3 linked regions of the Astyanax mexicanus genome follow. The protein of the gene in region 1 purifies or fractionates together with the protein of each later gene. This does not show direct contact. Links are inferred from orthologs where the notes say so. Each region holds a gene or a part of one and is shown on either strand. Other genes may lie near its edges.

Evidence for each region. Proteins that work in one complex are often made in the same cells at the same time.
Region 2: the proteins of chd3 (region 1) and znf512b purify together in Homo sapiens (affinity purification with mass spectrometry; 3 studies listed by BioGRID and IntAct, with this or other methods). This does not show direct contact. The link is inferred for Astyanax mexicanus from reciprocal best matches to the Homo sapiens genes CHD3 and ZNF512B.
Region 3: the proteins of chd3 (region 1) and smarcb1b purify together in Homo sapiens (affinity purification with mass spectrometry; 3 studies listed by BioGRID, with this or other methods). This does not show direct contact. The link is inferred for Astyanax mexicanus from reciprocal best matches to the Homo sapiens genes CHD3 and SMARCB1.

Annotation. Positions count from the first base shown.
Region 1 is NC_064415.1:23,862,588-23,869,843, forward strand, and holds the start of chd3 (chromodomain-helicase-DNA-binding protein 3), read left to right. Parts: upstream 1-4,248; 5' UTR 4,249-4,620; coding exon 4,621-4,786; intron 4,787-6,849; exon of another isoform or gene 6,850-7,256. Other genes in the region: cytochrome b5 domain-containing protein 1, read left to right, coding at 619-837, 2,754-2,984.
Region 2 is NC_064420.1:16,117,248-16,124,514, reverse strand, and holds the start of znf512b (zinc finger protein 512B), read right to left. Parts: upstream 3,010-7,267; 5' UTR 1,818-3,009; intron 1-1,817. UniProt on the Homo sapiens protein: Involved in transcriptional regulation by repressing gene expression. Associates with the nucleosome remodeling and histone deacetylase (NuRD) complex, which promotes transcriptional repression by histone deacetylation and nucleosome remodeling.
Region 3 is NC_064424.1:46,282,194-46,289,904, forward strand, and holds the start of smarcb1b (SWI/SNF-related matrix-associated actin-dependent regulator of chromatin subfamily B member 1-A), read right to left. Parts: upstream 3,010-7,711; 5' UTR 2,964-3,009; coding exon 2,880-2,963; intron 1,087-2,879; coding exon 975-1,086; intron 815-974; coding exon 685-814; intron 560-684; coding exon 422-559; intron 1-421. Other genes in the region: hmgcrb (3-hydroxy-3-methylglutaryl-CoA reductase b), read left to right, coding at 4,631-4,655, 5,666-5,853, 6,049-6,160, 6,541-6,628, 6,750-6,834.

The DNA of each region.
Region 1 (7,256 bases):
GCAAGACCACAATAATAATAGTAATAATATTAATAATAATAATAATATGTCAAAATAGTAGAATACAAATAAGATATACATATTTCATGTAAGTAAAATAAGTATATTCTTTTATGTTTACTCTATTTTTAGAGTAATAACCATTCAGTTTTATGTAGAATATGTAATTTCAATATTTTTTACCTATTACCTATTATACAAACTGCATAAAATCTGCAAAAATCTATAATTAAAACGTGACCTGTTCTCAGGGATGTCCATCCTCTGCAGAAAACGTGGAAAGCACAGAAATATGTCAGTTTGTAATATTGTTATTGTATATAAAATGTTGACGTTAGACCAACAGTATAATTAATTATGTGTCAAAGATTTATTATATTAAGTTAATCTTTATTTTTAATTTCTAAAAATCTGTTGAAAATTCTTAGCATTTTGTTTTAGACTGTTTGGAATCTTGATTACTGAGTATTTTAGCATATTTATTAAGGCACAAAATAATAAAACAATGTCAGCTCTGGTCATATTTTAAATGGCTTAAATTGTTTAAAATAACACCAGAATTGACTGGACATCAGTAGACACAAGTAGAGTGATTTTATTTTATGTCTTCTTGCTCAGATTCGTACCCACATCGATCCATTATCGTGTTGTGTGAAATACTTCACCCCTAGAGGGCGCTTTTTGCATGTGCCCCCTCCCTGCCCTAGCACTGATTGGGCTAATGATTTCGGAAGGCCGTGGTGGAGGGACAGCCGCTATGAGGTGGGCCTGCTTTCTGCCAAGACCCGCTGGATTCGCATTATCAACACCCTCACGTCCCAGGAGCAGAGCCTGGAGGTAGGCCACACTGAACACATGGCAAAAGTGTTACAGGATACAAGGTGTATTCACAAATTTATGATGCCAGAGAATGTGTGTTTCTCTATTAAACATGCATTGCCTTTTAATAATCCCAATGGCCAAGTATGGACTATCCAGCGATGAACCAAAACGATATGGCAACATGCCTAATGTGCTGTTGGTGCTCTGCGTGCCAGCAAAACAGCTCATTCTACCAGACCTCTGAAGGTGCCCTGTGTTATTTGGCAATAAAACAGCAGATGCTTTAGGCCCTGGAAGTTGTTAGGTAGAGCTGCTACAGATCAGATTTGTTGTTCCAGTTTATCCCGCATGTGAGCATACCTGCTTTCCCCATGTTATAAAAGAAAGCAAGATTTGTCAGACCAGTAAATGTTGTTTCATTCAGTATCAGTATCTCACTGATGTGGTGGTGTGTTATGCTGGCACAAGTGAATCAGGCAAAGCAGTGAGTTTTTAAACAGTGTGTCCACACAATATTTACTCTATTAGACATAATCAAAGACGGATTCTCGTCTGTTGCTGCACAGTTTGTGTTGGTCACCCTCTAGTCCTTCATCAATGGTCACAGGACATTGCCCACAGGAAGCTCTTCAAAGGATAATGTTGGTAGACTATTCTCAGTACAGCAGTGACACTGGAGTGTTTAAAAACTTCAGCAGCACCGCTGTGTCTGTTCCACTCGTGCCAGTACAACACACACTACCTTTGAAAAACAGAGTAGAAGGAGGATAATAAAGTATGCAGTGAAACAGATTAACTACTGTCTGTAAATATAGAACAACAGAGTGCTCAGTGGAGCTGAAAAAATGGATTATGGTTGCAAAAACTGGAATGATCATAATGTTATGCCTGATCACTATCTATTGTTGTTCCAGTCACACCAACAAGGTTACATTTGATTCCAGTAGCTTGGTGCTTTTTCTGTTAGTGAGTGTACAGAAAATCATCACAGCGTCACATCATTATCTTTATCTCGCTATTCAGATGTGCAATTTCTGATTTGTACAATGCAAACCGATTTAACCCTTTAAAGACTATTGGAATTGGGTGCTGAAAATGCCTATATTTGGGATACTTCACAAATAAATTATTTTATATTTAATATATACTGAAAAAAGGTACTTTGGAGAAAGTCTTCCCATAATTTAAAGGATGTGATATGTCTACAAACTGTTGGACATGTAGTGTACTGTATGTGCATGGTTAAAAATAAATACGTGTCTGTAACTTTCCTTTTGTCAGGAAGGTTTGTTGCACTGTGCTCCCGCATGCTGAAGAGGGCAGGATTGGTCTATTCTTTCTTGTTACTTTTTCTGACCCCCCCCCCTTCCTTTTTTTTCTTTTGCCTTGCTCATTTCACCCTCCCCTTGCAGTCTGCATCTGATTCTCCTTCTTGACAAAGGGAAATGTTACTGATGTTATGCCTCTGGTAATGTAAGTGGTCCAAGACTGGGCTTGTGCTTCAGCTGTGCAGTCCAATGGCCACCACGTTCACTGCAGGGTGGGCAAGCTCACTCCTGCTACATGACCCATCTGGCATCGGGCTATTCTGCATGGTCCAAAGGCTTAACAGAGCATTCCTATTGTCTTTCTCTTTTGCTCCCCCAGCCACCCCATTCTGTACTCTCCCTCCGCTTCCCCCCTCCCTCTCCAGTGGTTCTTGGCAGTGCACCACTATTGGATCAAACTGACATAAATTCCTTTCCTCTCTTTTAGCAGATCCAGGAGGCTTTGCTTATATAATTCATATATGTGGAGGAATTTGGGTGAATGTATTTTACTTAAAGGGAAAAAAAAGCTTTACTTGTGTGTGTTAACCATGTGTGTTAACCATGTATATTAGGAATATTACTAGTAACTGAAAGTTTTTTTTCTCTTTGTTCTCTGGCCAGGTGTGTTCTGAGGAAACACTAGATGAGATCCTGCAGCGATACCTGCGCTACAACTCCCATGCGGCCAGCTACACCTGGAAGCATGACGGTGTCATTTTAGATATTAGTAAGACCCTAGAAGAAAATGGCATCCCAGATGAAGATGAGGAATTCTACAAGTGTCGCATGGATTGTGACCTCTACACTCAGTCCATATGCCTGTACTTCAACGATGACCTTACTGAACTTTGACCTGATCGCAATTTTACATTATATGAACTTCTCATTATCCCCATCATATGATGTAACTGCATTACAGTAAAGCATTACAAGAGTGTTCGATGTATGGTTAATTGTTGACCCCATTATTTTGTATTTGGCCCAGATAAACCCCATCATTCAAAGTAGAACCGTAATAGTGCCGTAACCTCACCTTAATAACAGTGGCTGGCAGTTGCTATAGTGAATGTTCATGTAAAATTCAGTAGCTTGCGCTTTAGAACATTCATATGTAGTGTTGCAACAGGGGTTCTTTGACTTTCTTTGCCCCTTTTTATATAGAACTATAAAGAAACATATTAAAAATGTAAGCTAATAAAATCATCTGCAAATTTGATTTTATTTTTTTTACACGTGAAGAACCATTTAACTTGGCAAAAACAATTTAGGCATACTAATTACATGCATTACATTTCATGGTGCATTTTTCAAACTGAGCCACTGACATAACATTTAATTAGAGCTAAGGTTATCATTTACTCCCAGGTTAATTACATACCATTGAGAGTGAAAATTACTTGTTGATATTCAGGGTCAACACAGATGATTTTCTTTTTTTTTTTGGACAAAGGGGAAACTGTGTTGTCTGGAGGTATTTTCAAGTAATTATTGCTTTGCACAGTTACACTTGAGTTCAGTCAGTGAAATTTAACAGCATGCAAGTTTCTTTTGGACACTGGGGTAAATTTTGTTCTACTGTACTTGTACTGTTTTGATTCCTTGAAAAAAATCACACAGAAAGGGATGTTTTTACAGGTCTTTTAATCGTCCATTTTCTAAGGGGAATGAATAAGTGTTTGACTCCCTCCATCCGCGCCTTAAATGGTTAATTTTTAAGCAACACAATCTGATGTAAATCTGGGCATGGCTGCGGCACAGCTTCCCAACCCCCCCGTCCGTTCTTTCCAGCCTGCAGCCAGACGAGACCGCGGCGCAAAGCCTTTCACTCCAGAATATTTTTTTATACATCGGCGGGGCCCTTTAAGACTATTAAGGTAGCCATGTTTGTTAGATTTGCGAGGCTCTCTGCAGTGCAGAAGGAGTGTTAAGGCGAGAGTGAACGCTGGCGTCCGCGTGCACTCGCAACAGTATGCAACACACACGCGTGCGCGCGCACAGACACGCACAGAGTTAGGTTAGCTGCCAGGCAAGTATTAGAGAGAGAGAGAGAGAGACAGACAGACCGAGGGAAAACAAAAACACTCAGAGCAAATGACGAGTTAATAAAATACAACAACTTAGTCTCAGCTCTACATACACCCCCTTTCTGCTGCTGGAACAATACTGAGAATGTTTTTTAGAGGAGGGAGGGGAGACGAGAGAGAGTGAGACAGAGAGAGAGAGTGCGAGAGAGAAAGGAGGAGGAGGGGGGGCGTTCTGAAATAATATAGTCAGCCATTTTTTATGTAAGGGGATTTTTCTTATTGGGGGGGTTGTTAAAAAATAAATATAAGGGCGGCCATCTTTGTTTCTCTGCCTTGTAGTGTAAAATATTCCAAAACGCCCCCCACTTTTTTCCCTGTGTGTCGATTTGAATATTCAATAAATATCATAATTCGGGAGGAATCCACTTTTTGATCTCGAGGACGGGGTCGCTGACAGGCATATAATGTCCTCTCCTCTCCGTTCTTGTGAGGAAGATGAGGGCATGGCGGTTAATTCCGAGGGAGGAGATTTTGATGAAGAAGAAGAAGACGACGGGGACCTGGACGAGAACGCAAGCGACATAAACTCGCCGGCGGCGCCTCGAGAAACTGCAGCCCTCGCCGCGCCAGGTACCGTGCAGACACGGGGGAGCTAGGGAGCGAGCGAGCGCGCGGCGGAGGAGAAAGTGAGGAAACGTAGCTACGGCGTTATATAGCGGGAAAAAGTGTGTGTGTGACCCGTAACACGGGGGGACAACAACATCTGCACTGCTAGCTAGGTTCAGTAAGTTAGCCTGCTTCGGCATAGCCCACTCGCTCACTGCGTTTCTGTGCTAAATAAAGCGTAGCCTCTAGATAAACCCCGTGGAGTTTAGTTAGTTTAACTAAACTTTCCCAGTGTCCCCATCGCTGTCCCGTTGGGCCATTCAGCACTTGCTCCGGCTAACACCAATTTCTATTGCCAAATAATGTGCATTGTCTTCTTAACCTAGCTTATGGCTGAACGTTTTTAATGATTCCTCGCTGTAAGGTTTTGCAAAAACTGCCTGAGGTTATGTCTACTACGCACGACTGCCCCAGACCTCGAATGGCGAGTGCATTATAGGTAGTAGCTATAGCTATCTTAACTAACTAGAGGGGTTGCAGAAGAGTGCAGAGCGCTGGACTACCGGTTGATTGAGACAGTGGTCAGTGTTGTGACAGACTGTAAATAAACTTGACCCGACCCACTGTCACTCTGACTGCCACAGTTCAGGGCAGGACAGACCTCCCTTTTAAGATAACTAAGCTTAGCTAGGTTAACCAACTAGCTAACGTAGCTAACTAACTAGGTAGCTAATCTAGGTGGTTCATGGAGAGTACAGTGGCTCACAGTTTATGTATTAACTTGTCATTAGCACTAACAACACTCAAACAACACAAATCCACATGAGAAAATGTATACATAGGTGGTTTTATAGTTGGCAATGTTTGTATACTTAGCTATTCAAGACAACACAATAGCTATGATGGTACACTCACTGCACATAACCTATCCATAGATCATAAAGATGTAGCTAATAAGTATGAGTAATAGTTAGACATAACAAGGAACCATATATTAAGCAGTGCTGTCTACATTCATATGATATAGCTAGTTAGCTAGGTTAGGTTAGCTATGTGTGTTTATATTATTTCACACTATTACGAAATACTGCTCGTAACTATAGATTTTATCTATAAGTTACATATATAGCTAGCTATGTCTAATATTTGGATACCAATAAGAGTTTGGCATGTGCCTTAGCCCCATACTAAGATGACCTGTTTACATGCAGATGCGTTTCTAAATCAAAACAAAAGTCTGGGCACACTTTATGGTGGCGCAATGCATATCCTCATTACACTGTTGTGTGATAACTGGTCGCCGTGCATGCATGGATGCACGCATGTGTGGATGTGTTGATTGCACTCATTGGGGCCTTTTTTCAGTTGTGCAAAAAAATAAAATAAACATAGAAAGGGGTCTCGCAGTCGCGCAGGGTGCAAAGATGCGCGCGAATCAATTAACGTTACCCCTCGTTCCCCCCTCGCGCCCTTTGCATCCCCTCTAGTGACTCCCACCAGCAGCCCGCAGCTCCTCTCCGCCCCGCTCCCAGGTGAAGAGGCCCCGCGGCAGCAGGAGGGCAGGCGCAGTTTCCTCGCGCTTTGCGTCGCGTGGCTCGCGGACGCGGCCTCTCGATCACCGAGACCCGCGTGCGCGCTGCTGCCGCCTCTGGCTGCGCGAGGCCAGCCGGGCGCGAGAAAAAAAGCTCGCTCGCTCGCCCGCCCGCTGCGTCCTAGCAACAAAGGCGGACCAGAACAGGAGAACTAATTTTACTGAGTGCAATGGCAACCGATTAGCTTGTTTTTTTGCCTCACAGGACCGAAAACCCCTAACCAGACAGCGCGTATCTGTCCTTATACTGTATCATGACCGCAGAAAGGGTTTTATTTGTTAAGTATGGTTGTGAGAGCCCATTCATGCCGCTTAACAATTTTAAAATAATTATTTTGGTACTAATTCGTTATTTTGGCATTCTAAGTCGTTATTAAGGGATAGTAAGTTGTTATTTTGGGATTCTAAGTGGTTATTTGGGGATAGTCGTTATTTTAGGATTCTAAGTAATTTTTTGAGAAACCAAGACGTTATTACTGAGTCTTTATTAGGGGATACTAAGTTGTTATTTCGGGATTCTAAGCCGTTTTTTGGGGATAGTCGTTATTTTAGGATTCTAAGTCATTATTTGAGGAAACTAAGTAGTTATTTGGGGATTCTAAGTCGTTATTTGGGGATTCTTATTTTGATCTTATTATTTTAAGATGCTAGGTAACATTTTTAAGGCGGTATCTTATTGATTTGATGGACTTGGTGTCTTTTTTAAAAGATACTTTTAACATTTCATATTCATATTAAGGTGATATGCACAGTAAGCTAGCTATAGCTCGTTAAACTACATCTCTGTAAGTTCTCTTAATCCGGGACATTTTTTTGTCTCATTTTTTAACTTTCAGGCAAAAGGCTAAACAGCTATAGCTAGCTATAGCTCCTGAGTGATACCTTGTACATAAGACAACAATT
Region 2 (7,267 bases), on another chromosome or scaffold:
AACACATACACACCAACCTACAGTTTCAAACGCTGTGCTGCGTTTGTCTTGTGTATTCGTGGGTACTAAGAGTGGGCGATATGGCCCTAAAATAATATGCCAATATTTCTGCAAGAATATATTACAGCAACAAAATTTATGTTAAACCTTTGGTATATTTGGTATAAATAGGACCGTTTATACCAAATAACAGTTTCAAACATTCAGTGGAAAAAAATACATCGGTAAACTTTTGTGTATTTGGACAATAACTCTAAAACCTTATAGTAAATAAATAACAAAAAAATATACGGCTCTCAAGAGTGACAAAACCTATTATCTCACTATATAATTTTTTAACATTTAAAAATTATCATGTACACAAACGATAATTCGTAACAATAAGTATGTAATGATATGTGCGTCCTCTGTGTGCCTTGTCTTGCCATGTCCGTACATTAATGTGTATGTGCTTCATGTATGTGTGTTTGAATGGGTATGTGCTGTATATCAAGTTATGTGTAGGTTTGTCACAATAAATGAAATCAGCAGCATCATTTTGCTAGAGACCCTAAAGCTAGGTCACTTAATTTCCCAACTAGTCATCAGCTTCCACCTGACTGTAACTCACACACTACCTCTGTTGCTCTTCAGACGCTGACGGCTCGTAGTTTGTAGTTGTGTATGTGCTTACTGTGTACATCTACCTTATTCTGCTTTGCTCTACCTGGCCCTACCTCACTCTCATTGCCTTGCTGTGCCTCACTCTACTATGCACGTCCACCAGCCTTATTATGTCAGGTGGGCAGTCTGCAGCATGAAGCACGTGGGTCATGCAGTTTGAGTCTTCAAGGTTCTTCAACACTCTGGCTGATATTTTGATATGTTCATAGTGAAAAATTTAATTGCGATAATGATAAAAATATGATTTACAGTACAGCACTGTTCTGTTTGATCGTGTAGCTCAGTGTTTCCTATCCCTGGTTTTGGAGGCCCACTACCCTGCACACTTTAACTCAATATTGGGCTGTTAATTGGCATGTGTGAATGGGTATGTGCTGTATATCAAGTTATATATCAAGTTAGGCTTGTCACAATAAATGAAAGCGTCAGCGTAATTTTGCCAGACTCCAAAGCTAGGTCACTTTATTTCCCAACCAGTAGTTTGTAGTTGTGTATGTGTTCACTGTGGACGTCTACCTTATTCTGCCTCGCTCTAGCTCACTCTACCTCACTGTCTCGCTGTGCCTCACTCTACCTCGCTTTTCCCCCAGCCTTGTTATGTCATGTAAGCAGTCTGCAGCATGAAGCACATGGGTAATTTTTTGGCTGGTGTTATCACAGCTATTTTGATGTGTTTATTGTGAAAACCTAAATTGCGATAGCGATAAAAATATGATCTACAGTACAGCACTGTTCTGTATTACTGTGTAGCTCAGTGTTTCTTAACCCTGGTTTTGGAGCTCCACTACCCTGCACACTTTAACCTAACTCAATATTGGGCTGGTAATTGGCTGACTGGTTGGATCAGGTGTTGTGTTGGGAGTGGGGAAAACACTAAAATACGTTGAGTTGGTCTGTTGAATATTCCCATATCGATGTGGAATGACATACATTAAGATGATTCTATGTTCTCCTAATTCCTGCACAGTGTAACGCAGTGTTATATGTTAATGGAGACTTATCGTTGGATCAAGCGAGTTGGGAGCAGGGAACACACTATAATATGCAGGGCAGTGGGCCTACAGGACTAGTAGTGAACTAGCTGACCCCTGTTCTGACTGGTGATGATGAAATTGCTTGTTTTGAGCGTCTGCGTGCTGTAAGGCCACACCTACCTGAACCGCTGGAGCCACCCAAACACTCGGCCGGCCCCAGCCACCCGGGGCACCCACGTGCGCTTCAGGCTGTGTGATCCTCACGCCTCCCTCAGGGCGCTACATGGCAACTCCCCAGAACTGGACTGGACTGGAGGAACACCACCGCCGGTCACTTCTTCTTCAGCACCACCACCACAGCCCCCACCGTGGCTCCACAGCAGGAGGAGGAAGAGAAGAGGAGGAGGAGGACCACGACGACAAGCAAGAAGAGGAGGAGAAAGAGGAGGAGGTGGAGGGAGGTGGAAAAGAAGAAGAGCAGAGAAGAGAGAGAGAGAGAAACAGAGAGAGGAGGAGGAGGAAAGGAAACGAACCCAAATGAACCCAAAGCCCCTGACCACCACTTTCACACTGTTCCCACACTTCTCTTCAAAACACACTCAGAAAGAGAGAGAAACAGAGAGAGAGAGATAAAGAGAGAGAGAGGGAGTCGAGACGTGGAAAAATAAAAATAAATAAATAAAGCTCCACAAATGGCCACGAAGGGAAAAAGGCAGAGACGATAGCGAGCCCGGTACCCCGTCCGTCCGTCCGGGTATAAAATAATCCACCACAATCCGCTTTTATAGGCAGTGAAGCAAAATGGCGACTTTAATACGAAGGAGGAGGTAAAAAAAACCCTCGCGCGGAAAAGCTAAAGGCTCGGCAGGACCGGAAACGTGTTTAGTACCGTAATTTCTCCACCGACACGACCCAGTTATCGGTGCAGGGCTGAAACACAGCAGCAGCGGATCCGCTCGGGAGGTTCGCCGCTTCGACGGCGGCTCGGGCGCAGTCCCAGCCCTCGGTTCCTCCCCGCAGGCTCGAGCCCGGGTCTCGCGCCGCTCCTTTCGCGCGGCCCGTGTACAGTAACTACGGCTCTACAGCACGAGCTGCCGCTGCTGCCGCTGGTGGGTCACGCGCGAGTCCGCCTGTCACTGCCGGAGCTGCCGTTACCGACTGGAGGCAACTTACAAACTCTCGCGTTATTACTGTGACGCCCCCCTCTCTATATATTTATATATTTATTTTTTATATTTATTAATTATTTTATTTATTTAAATGTTTAAATATTACCCATATTTCTGATTAATAAACGCCCGCATGCGTGAGAGAGAGAGAGCGAGAGAGAGAGCGCGCGAGCGTTTGATGCGGCGCGACGTAACGCCGTTCGCTCGTGACGACAGGGGTTAGGGCTTCATGCTAACCAACACAATGTGGCAACCCACTTCAACGCCCAAAATAACACCAGTCACACACCAGTCCTGACTGATTGTTTACCAGTGTCTGTAAAATGTACTACTAATAATAATATCAGAACTATAGCTCTAAAAAAAAAAACACCACTTTAATGTAAATTCGGAGTAGTCATATAAGATTTACTTATCATGGCTCATCAATTTTTTTTGTAAATTTTTAGTTTACTACATAATCTGAACACACAAACTGTCCTGTGTCACATTTCCTAATGAAAGGACCAATAGAAATAAACTCTTTTTACATTAACTTTTGAAAGAAGGTTTAATCTCTTTCCTGTAAAGATGCTGTTTTAGAGATTTTTTTAATGGAATTTTAGTATGTTATATAAGACTAGAATTGTTGTTAGTCAGAATAAAAAGATTGTATTAATTATTATTTATTTCTAATAATAATTAAGTAATTATAAACATCTGTAAATAGAGTTTTTACTAGTAAAGTCTAATTTAAAATAAGAGACAGTGAAATTCCAGTACCAGTTAAAGGCTTGGACACACATTCTTATTAATATTTGTTCTTTGTTTGTATTAACTACTCCATTGTACATTGATATTAAAGAAGTCTAAAACTATGAAGAAACACATATGCATTAGGTAGACACCTGACACAAAAATAAATAAAAACTCAGCCCAACTGTTTTGGATGAGTTGGAGTGCAGAGTGAAGGAAAAGCAGTTAACAAGAGCTCAGCACCTCTAGAACTCCTTTAAGACAGATGGAGAACAATTCCAGGTTCTATCTCATAAAGCCGACTGAAAGAATAAAGCCAAGAATGGGCAAAGTTGGGATCAAAGCAAAAGGAATCTTAGGTATAAAACATATTTCGTTTTTTTTGTTCATTATTGCATATGTGTTCCTTTATAGTTTTGATTTCTTCAATATTAATCTACAGTGTAAAAAATAATAAAAATAAAAGAAAACATTACATTAGAATATGTATGTCCAAACTATTGACCCGTACTGTATGACTGTATAACTGTCAGAATTACATTAAGGATATGTGGTCCTGGTCACGTGACTTGTGACTGGACCTATAGATGTATGTAGCCGATTACTACTAAAAAGTGTATGGTTAATATCAGAAACTATAGTTTCTACTAATAATAAGCTTTACTGGTAAAAACTGAGATAGGACTGGTATCACTGGTGTCATTTTAGGTTAAATCAGCTCACTATAGCTAACCAGCCAGTGTGGAGAAATATACCATGTTTTTTTTTTTTTTTTTTTTGCATTTTGCATTATTATACACTTGAAAGTTTGGAGTAATGTTATGCTGTTATTAATGCACTTATATTTTCTATAAAAAAAACAATGCAACCACATAAATCACATAAATGACAGACTAAGATGTGATTTGTAATTAAATTATAATTTTTATATTGTTATTATTATAATTTGTTGTATTAAATCTTAGATTATAGCTCAGATGACCTGACCCACTTTAGTCAGTGCAGTTCAGTTATGTAATCGTGATTTATGGTGAGTAATACTTAATAGCACTTAGACAGACGAGTCAGACCTTCAGCATAGACTGTGCTGCTCTTCAGGATGACCCAGTAACGACAGCGTATGACCCATAAATTGATTTCTCGTCAAACTATGACGTAATTTAAACAGACGTGCAGTACCGACGTCACCACCAGGGGGCGAAAGAAGACCGCTTTTTGACGGCGCTTTTCACAATGTAACACTTTCTGATTTCTGATTTACTAAGATTTATCATTTAATGTTAATGAAATGAAATGTGCCTGAATTTAGTAGTTTTTCAGGCGTCTTTTTCTTTACAATGCCACGTCCTCAAAAAGGTGATTCAACAAGGTCATTTTAGGTCACTTTGACGTTATATTCAGGTCATTTTAGGTCATAACCCTGGGGTTTCACTTAATATGTATGATAATAAATAGAATATATATTTACTCCTTATTTGTGCACGAGCAATTAATGTTTCATACAAATTCAAGCAAAAAAAGTTTGCTTAAAAGCTGTAAAAAACTGATAATACGTTTCTGTTCAAAGCTAATTCTTACCTGTTGTGTATTTTAAGATATTAAACAGTAGCATTTTAAAAATACTTACTGGTGACAAATATATGTTTAATTTTAAAGATTTAAATAATTTGTTCTAAGTTCTAAAAAGCAGCACAAACACGCACATATTTACAATGTGAGTTTAATTTACAGTTGCATTTATTTGATATCCAATGAAAACAAATCAAATAATTTATTATTAGCTATTTGTTTTATGAATTATTTTAATGTATTCATAAATTCACTTAGGAATGTACATTTAATTCAGTAGCAATGTCAAATAGTTTTTATCTAGCCTTTGGTAAATTATATTTTCTCTCTCTCTCTCACACACACACTCGCACACACAAAAAGCAATTAATTTTTTGATCCTTCCTGTTTTTTTTATCAGTTTAAAAACTGAATAAAACTTATTTATATATATATTTTCCATTTACTTTGATGAAGAAGAAAATGATCAATTTTTCCAGTCTTTAGTTTTTTATTTGTGCCTTTCACTAACAGAATTATAAAAATATATATTTATTGTAATGAAAATCTGATGATATGATGCAACTTGTTACAAGATGAAAAGTCAGAAAATTGAAGATTCATCTTTTTATTTTTCCTGAAATTCTAGTTGAAAAAAAAAACTAGAAAATTAGAAAAATAGATGAAAACCCAACATCAATTTTTTATTTTGCCCTAAATTGTCAGACAATTGAATTACAGATACAGTGACCCTTCCTTATAAAACAGTCTGTCTCCAGCATATTTAATAATAATTCAACCAGCTACAAATTTATAGTTATATAGCTAGATAGTTATAACATATAGGTAAAGTTTGCTAACGAACATTGTTTAACTTTGGTTAAAGTTAGCTAACATTAACAGTTTAAAGAATTATTTTATACTGTACAGTAACTACTTAAAAATACAATATAAATGGTCTGAGGTAAAAATGAGCTAGTTTACCTAGCTAGTTAGCTAGCTAACGGTTTTACCCCAGAACTGAATTCAGGAGCTTTAATATGAACAGCTGTGATTTTGGTTCGGCATTTTAAAAATGTAAATTTAATAAAACTAATAAATATATTAGTAAATAATAAATATTGTTTCAACACTGAATTGTAACTCAATGCTAGCTGGAATTTCTGTATCTTTTTAAATTGGCACAATTTAAATTGAATTCTTACCTGTTGAGTTTAATGTACAAAACAGTAAAACAAAATACATATCCTGTGACAGATATTATTAATTTTATAGATTTAAATCATTAGCAAGTTCTAAAAAGCAGTCAGAGGTAAAAGAAAAAAAATATATAGAGTTAGCGCTACTAGTTTACCTAGCTAGTTAACTAGCCAACGGTTTAACCTCAGAACTAAACTCAGGAGCTTTAATATGAACAGCTGTGATTTCTACAACCCAGTTCTCACCTAATGCCATGAGCTCTGTTATAAGAACTTTAAGACATTTTAAATGTAAAAATTACATTAGGAGAACAATAGGACTACTAAATATATTATTATACAATTGTTTCAACACTGAATTGGCGCTGAATGCTAGTTTGAATTTTAGTTTGTTTTTAAATTGGCAGGTCGCCAATCCAGGATCCACATCGAGGAACTTTAACCAGTCTCAGTAAATGTGTTCTTTTGTATTTTAAAGCAACTAGAACAGTGGAAGATGACACCAGGCCAGAACACAAGGACACTCACCCAAACCAAATCTCTCGTTATATATTTAAGTTGAAACTGGTTGTGTTAATGTGTTTAGATCATATGTGGTTGCGAAGAGAATCCAAAAAGCCCCCTAAAAATGTGTCACCTTAACATTATTTGTCTTCTGGATTGATCATAAAGGGATTATGGTTTTACAGACAACAATTTATATAAATATGTTTTACTGTGTTTCACAGACTTTACACACCACAAGGAGGCCACAAGAGGGAAGTATAGTCCAGGTGATGGGGTGAGGTCAGATTGTGAACCACGGAAGACTGATCAGTGGTTTTATTGGTCATTAAATCAGGGCCAGTTACACCAAAATTTCTACATTTCTAAACATTTCTAAAACCTAACAACTTAGTGTATGGGAGAACTACGGGCATTTTATGTGTTTACAGTTTTAGCAGTGCGTTGAGCCGTGGTGTATCATTTAAGCCAGAGT
Region 3 (7,711 bases), on another chromosome or scaffold:
CTCACTATAAATGCCAAAATGCTTCTGTCGTTCTGTGTTTGTGCATATAGCATTAGCTTACTAGCTGGTAAGGCTGTGCAATGGATGGATTTTCAAATTTTGAAAGTAGTCTATTATTTACTGTGAAGCATTAAGTGTATTTTTTGTACTGTTTATGTTTGCCGTTTATGTGCATGCACTATTTTATGAATCTGGCCGTTACAAATGACAAAATGAACCAGGAGTTAAAAGCTGGTTAACATTAACTTAGCAGAATAGCTAACATTCTATTCAATACAGAAGCTCCTCAAGTTCGACTGACTAAAATCCTACTTATAAATGTTTCTTGCACTATTTAGTAAGTCTATTGAAATACTAATAAGGAAATAAGAATACGTTTTAGCCACAGCCATGGCAATTAAGAAATTAAACCATCTCTCACCACAGGGGAAACGTCCTCTTCTTGTCCCGTCCCATGCGATTTCTGTTGATTGTAGTGGAGCAAGGCACAGCATCCAGGTGGTGAGAGCTGTTGGGGAGGGTTGGAACCCATTGGCTGTTCCTCTTCGCTTTCTGCTCTCTGAATAAAATGGAGAGAAAACAGTCCATCATCTAAACTGACTGTCCTTAAAATAAGTAAAAAAACATTTACCTACATTCAGGGTATTTTCAGTCCAGGAGAAAAGACAAAAAAAGGAGCCGTACCTGAGATAGGCTGGAGGTTCCGTGCTGATGGACACTGCCTTGTATTTCTCATCGTTCCCCTCAAAGATCTCCTCGCACTCAGACGCTTTCAGCAGAGTCACACTGGTGGCTAAAGTTGTGTAACAATAACCTACACAAAATAAAACACTGCACAAAATGCTGTCCAGAAGCAGGACTACAGGACTATCTGGAGCAAAGGCATGCACTAAACAAGACCGTGGTCTCCTAAAACTGCTTTCTGGACTTAAAATCATCATAAAACAAATGCTATTGGCATTCGAATCACTTACCGTGTGATGATGCTACGATCTTTTTCCTCTCCTCCACTGACGCAAGCCGTCGCCACAAGGATGGGTACCTCTTGTACAGTGACCCTCTGAACATACGCAGGTAGTTTCCTACCTATAGGGAACAATATGCAGTCAAAACACAATCAATACTTGCAGTGGTGTGCAAACAAAATCATACAAAATGAAAAAAGCATTTAATCTTTCTTTACATATACATATCTTTTAGTCCCATATTAGGTGTATATTTATAGACAAGATGTTTAAAAATAAAAATAAACTAAAAAAGCACTGACCCAAATAATAGATAATGATTATTACACCCGAAATATGACAAACATTAAATACCACTACAGACCACAAATATCTCTCCTGTCAGACTGTTTGGTTTTATTTGGTCATTTTAATTCTGCACTGTATACTTTACTGAGGGCGCCCCAGGCCTGACTGTAATGTATGTTCTTTTCTGAGCTCTTCAGACTGTTTTGAAAGAAAGATTTAAACAGTTTATTTTCTGGAAATGTGGCTTATCTGGTTAATGTTTGTTTACAATACTGTTTAAGATCCGCTCTTCTGTCTTCTGACAGAGAAGCAGCACTAAGTATGTATAGTTTTTTTTTGTTCCATCAACCATCACTCTACTGAACTCCATATTACACCAATAAAACAGAAACACTAACTTTTATATTTTGCATTTATGAAAATTATTTAAACTACTTCGTACATTAGGTCTATTGAAGACTAGCTTTCATACACAGCATACAATATCTGTATTCATTGCAAGTTATGTGGCATATTTGCTATAAATACAGAAATACAGATATTGCTGTGTATGAAAGCTAGTCTCATTTATGTACACTAAGTAGTTTAAATAATTTTCTGACTAATATCACTTATTTTTCAAGTGGAGTGTATCATCACGTTAAACCACTTCTGATATACATTGAAGAAAACATTACAATGCCAGGTCCTAGTTTAATAAACATACATTTGGACAGGACAATATGGCCAAAAAAATATATATCACAAGTTAGAGTCCCTAATTCTGGTTAAGAAAAGATATAATTTTCAATATTGATAAGAACTACATAAAAGCACCAGAAAAACTGCCAAGGATGCCCACAACAAATGTCTGTACCTACAAACATCTTAAAAATAAAACTACTATTCTAATTTTTTGAGATGCACTAGTGTGTGTATACTGCTATTCACTGCACTCATTCATGATGCTGTGATTAAAAACAGGGTTATTCCACCAAATATTGATTTCTGAACTCTTAAAACTTTAAGAGTATGTTGTTTGTAATTTATGGAATAAAACAATAATGATAATTTTGCTCAAACATTTACCTATAAATAGTTAATTCAGAGAAACTGATTCAGAAACTGAAGTGGTCTCTTAATGTTTCCATAACTGTGTGTGTGTGTGTGTGTACTGTAAATATTGCGTTGCTTTGGTGAAGACCGTTTTCATAAGGCTACAGTAAGGGCTTAAATGATTATTTTACTAAATCTAAAAGCTGCAGTAGACAAATATGAGGTTTTAGAAGTTGTTTAAGGACAGTGTTGGTAAAGCTGATGCTGTATCTAACACAGACTGGGGGGTTTACTGTAAACATCACCACACTGCTGCGGTAACTCAACACAGACATGATTTAGAGCAAAACTGATGTGTATAAACTGATACATTCAGTGTAAATCCAGTGTGAATTCAGTGTAAAATTCAGTGTAACAGTGTTTTAAGCGCTGCCTCAGTCTTCACTCATTCATCGTTAGCATCTATGCTAACAACCAACAAAGCCTGAGGGGACGGCGCGCTGTACCGGGGGTTACCGGCCTAAACTAGCCCCCAACCCTTCGTATTCCGAGTTCAGACTCTACAGGACTGATAAAACGCTTAATACGCACCTCTGAACCGATCATATAGAAATCTCCATCCTGCTCCAACTGGAATTTAATCGGTTTCTGACCGAACGTTTTACTCAACGCCATCTTGCCCAGCACAATGCAGCGCACTGCGCATGCGCGGAATCACCGGCAGACACAGGCCCGCATCCGCTGGGATGATCAATAAAAAAAACCCACACAATTTCAGCACAAACAAATAATTAAAAATAATTAATAAAACAGAAAACATCAAATACAGAATTTTCCCACACTGAGCTACAATTAAAATAACAGCCATAAGCAGTGTGAGAGAATTTATCATAGTGTTTTTATAATAGCCAATAGAGAAATTTGAATTACAGATATTTATGCACGTACAGTGGCATAAAAAAGTATTTGCCTCTTACAGATTTCTTTCTTTCTACATTTTTCAGATGATCAAACAAACTTTAATTTCAGACAAATATAACCTGGGAAAATATGTAAAGCACTTTTTAAATTAAGATTTCATTTATTAAGGAAAAAAATATCCAAAAAAATGTGAAAAGGGCCCGTTTTTGGAAAGCAACATTATGAGTATGTAAAAGTAGCACATATTGATGGCTCGCATGATTTTAGCTGACTCGACCTCTAGCTCAAAAATGAAAAAGGCAAAAAAATGTAAGGGGTAGTTTGAGAGGGACGCTGGGTGATGTATGGGTTTAGAGGCGGGGTAGGAAGGAGAGCCGATTGGCTGAGCTGCAGCAGTAGCAGTGTGCCTCTGATAGTGGTGAGACGCAAATGGTTGTGACTTCAGTTTGTGACTAATTTGCATATTGTGAGTTAAAGGTTAGGAAATCTTTATAAAAAAATTTGCTCAAGTGCTCCATAAGAACCCATTCATTTTAGGCCCTCTAGTGTCTCAGACCAAACTTAAAAAAAAGGAGGGCCCATAGTTAGGGTACAAGTGTGCAGCCTATACTACACAAATTGGACCAGACCCTGGGTGACATCACACACCGGGGGGCGTGGCCAGGTCGCCTTGGTTGACTCACAGCCGCCATCGCTGTAGAGGGAGGAGAAGCGGAGGAGCTGCGGAGCGGATTATATCATGAAGGTAATTCTCTGGGCGGAACACCGGTCCTCTAACCCGCCACCGCTCTCCGGAGCGCGGCTCTGCCCGCGCCGCTGCTGCTTTCAGGACGCGGGTTTGACCTTGGCTGATGTCTGTGGGTAGAACTGCTTAGCTTTCGGCTAAAGGCAGCTAGCAGGGCGTTAAAATAGACACTCGGTGTTGTGCTGTCATTCGTCCTCGACGAAATCCGGCTTCCCTCCGCTTCCTGCTGTTCTCTGATTGGTTGAAATAAATGAGTGCTGTCTGAGCTCTAAATTAGTTAGAGGGGCTGAAAAATCGTTTTCTTAGACAAAAAAGATTTTTTTTTTAAATTTTATAATATTTTAACGTGTTTTTTATAATACCAATATTGTTTAAGTATTGTTATATTAACAAAAAACATTTAAATATTTTTAAAGATATATTTACCTGGAATGTTTGATATTGTAGCTTATACAAAAAGTAAATAGTGTGAATATACTTTTTCTTAAAAGAAAAAAGACAGTTTAATTAGTTAAACCTGCAATATTTTTGAATATTTTGAAATATTAACCAATTTATTTGGTAATGCATTTTTTAGTCTGTGGTCGCAAAGTGGTGGTTGATTCTTTTTTTTTTTTAGCAGGCGGACGGGTCCTTTGGGGTGCAGGATTTGGCATTTGACGCATTCTAGTGCAGCATGTCGGAACTGATCCAGTATCAGAGTAACAGGACACATGTGTTTCATCATTACGCAAAATATTGGACTTCTGTTTCACCTCTTCTTCTAATCTCAGCTCTTATTAATTACATACTGTAATAATTTATATGTAATGTATTCATAGCAAACGCCTATGTATTTTTGTATTAAAAAAGGGGAACAGTAAAGCAAAAACTGGCCAGTTAGTCCAAGTGGTTCTTTATAAGTAAATAATAGAGAGGAATAATAAATATAATATATTTTACTCATTATATTAATAATATATTTAATTTGTGTAACGTCTGGTTCATATTGCTGTATAAATTATCTGATTACAATGCAACAATAAAATTATCATCCATAAAGAGGAGGAAGTGGAGGATGACAGTTTTGACAGCTTTATATTATAAGAAGCAAGAACTACTCAACCAATCAGTCAATCCAAAACATTTGAAAACTTTTTTAAAAACTTTGAAAGTATGCTTAAGTGCAGTCACTGCACTGATTGGTGTCTCTGTGTTGAGATTTGAGCTTCTCCCGGTTCAGATTGGTGTCTCTGTGTTGAGATTGGAGCATCACCAGGTTCAGATTGGTGTCTGTGTTGAGATTGGAGCATCACCAGGTTCAGATTGGTGTCTCTGTGTTGAGATTGGAGCATCACCAGGTTCAGATTGGTGTCTGTGTTGAGATTGGAGCATCACCAGGTTCAGATTGGTGTCTCTGTGTTGAGATTGGAGCATCACCAGGTTCAGATTGGTGTCTGTGTTGAGATTGGAGCATCACCAGGTTCAGATTGGTGTCTCTGTGTTGAGATTGGAGCATCACCAGGTTCAGATTGGTGTCTCTGTGTTGAGATTGGAGCATCACCAGGTTCAGATTGGTGTCTTTGTGTTGAGATTGGAGCTTCACCAGGTTCAGATTGGTGTCTCTGTGTTGAGATTGGAGCTTCACCAGGTTCAGATTGGTGTCTTTGTGTTGAGATTGGGGCTTTACCCGGTTCTGATTGGTGTCTCTGTGTGTGTCTCTCTCCTGCAGAAGACGTGCTGATTGCTGTGACGATGCTGACCCAGCTCTTCAGGCTGCATGGCCTGTTTGTGGCCTCGCATCCCTGGGAGGTGATCGTGGGGACGATCGCCGTGACCATCTGCCTCATGTCCATGAATGCCATCGCTGGAGGAGATCAAATCTGTGACTGGAACTACCAGTGCCCTAAAGTGCAGGAGGTACATAGGCCTTTAGAGTACACACTTTCTGACTAGGGGTATTCTAATATATTAAAGGGATATTAATGTCTGCGATACTATATTAATTCTCAAAAACTCAGAATTGAGTTTTTCACACCTGTAGTTGGTTTCTACAGTTGACTGGAAACTGTTTAAAAATAAAGTGGAAACAAAATCTTTTATTTGCTCTTTCAGAAAATCCTGAGCTCTGACATCATAATCCTAACCATCACAAGGTGTCTGGCCATCGTCTACATTTACGTTCAGTTTAAAAACCTGAGGCAGCTCGGCTCCAAGTACATGCTCGGTGAGTTCACCACTGCACAATTCCTCCACAATACTTTTTAAAGAATATTAAGAATATCATCAGTGCCTGTTTAATTTTATGATGTGCTGCAAAAGTGTAAGAAATGTCACTGTACTGTTCATACTGTCTACTGGTGCATATTGTCTATGTGCAAAAACATGATAAATACTGTGTATTGTGAAAATGTCTTTAAATATTTAAATCTTTTTTTTCTTTACAAATCAAAGTGTATCGGCCAAAATTAAGAAATATATCGTAATGTAGAATTTTACCATATCGTCCAGTGTACACATTGTTTTTTTTTTGGTTTGTTTTTGCTATGTTTGGATCATCATGGACCAATAGAAATATATGGTGTGTGTGTGTGTGTGTGTGTGCAGGGATTGCTGGTCTCTTCACTGTGTTCTCCAGTTTTGTCTTCAGCACTGTGGTTATTCACTTCCTGGGAAAGGAGCTCACGGGCCTCAAGTAAGAGCTTTTATTCTTTTTTATTATTTTAGTTTATTTAGTTTTTTAATGTGCCGTTACTACTTTTATTTCGACTGTATTTCTGAAGTGCTGAGGAACCCTGTTTCTGTGTTTTCCTCAGTGAAGCGCTGCCGTTCTTCCTGTTGCTGATTGATCTGTCTAAAGCCTGTACTCTCGCCAAGTTCGCCCTCAGCTCCAACTCTCAGGTACAGAACAGCACCAGAACTACTGTGTTCCTGTTAGTTTATCTTCCCCAGAGAGTCCTATTTTTAGTGCTTGGTCATAATTACCAGCCAAATTAATACAAACTAATTAATTTATGTTTCTAAACAAACACTCATACATACTGACTAGGCAATACGTATCTTTCTATCTTTCGTATTCCCTCTTTCTCTATCCATTTTCTTTCTTTTTCTCTCTTGTCTCCACATATAAACCAAATAAATATTTATTTATAGTTTCTTTTTTGTCGCTGTTCTGCTCATTTTGTTGTTGTTCCTTAATATTTTTATTTTCTTCTTGCAATATTTTGTCTTTTTGTTTTTCCCCACCTTTTTGTCTTCTTTTTTTTTGTTTTGTTTTTTTTTCCTTCCTCTTTTCTCTGTTTTGCCTCTTAATTTGCTTATATTATTATATCTCTAATAAAAAGTGATGCCAATGAAATTGTAAAATCAACTAACACATAACATGTTAAATGACTAACATTAATGAAAATGTAAAATATGTAAAATACTAAGCTCCTATGTAGGGGTGGGCAATATTATATCGTATACAATATATCGTGAGACAGAAATATTGTGATATTAAAAATCCATATCGTGATAATAGAGATGTTCTGTCTTAAAAGTAGTCTATTATTTACTGTGAAGCTTTAGGTGTATTTATTGTATAATTGTTTTATTTTGCAGTTTATATGCTTGCACTAAATATTCTGCAATATTTTTTGCTGCATTATATTATTTTATGCTATATTTTGCCACATTATGATTATGCTTTTATACTCTTATACTATATTCCTGAAATTAATTAATTATTTTTCTGTTTTCCTATATCGCCAAGTATATCGTTATCGCAAAAAATACC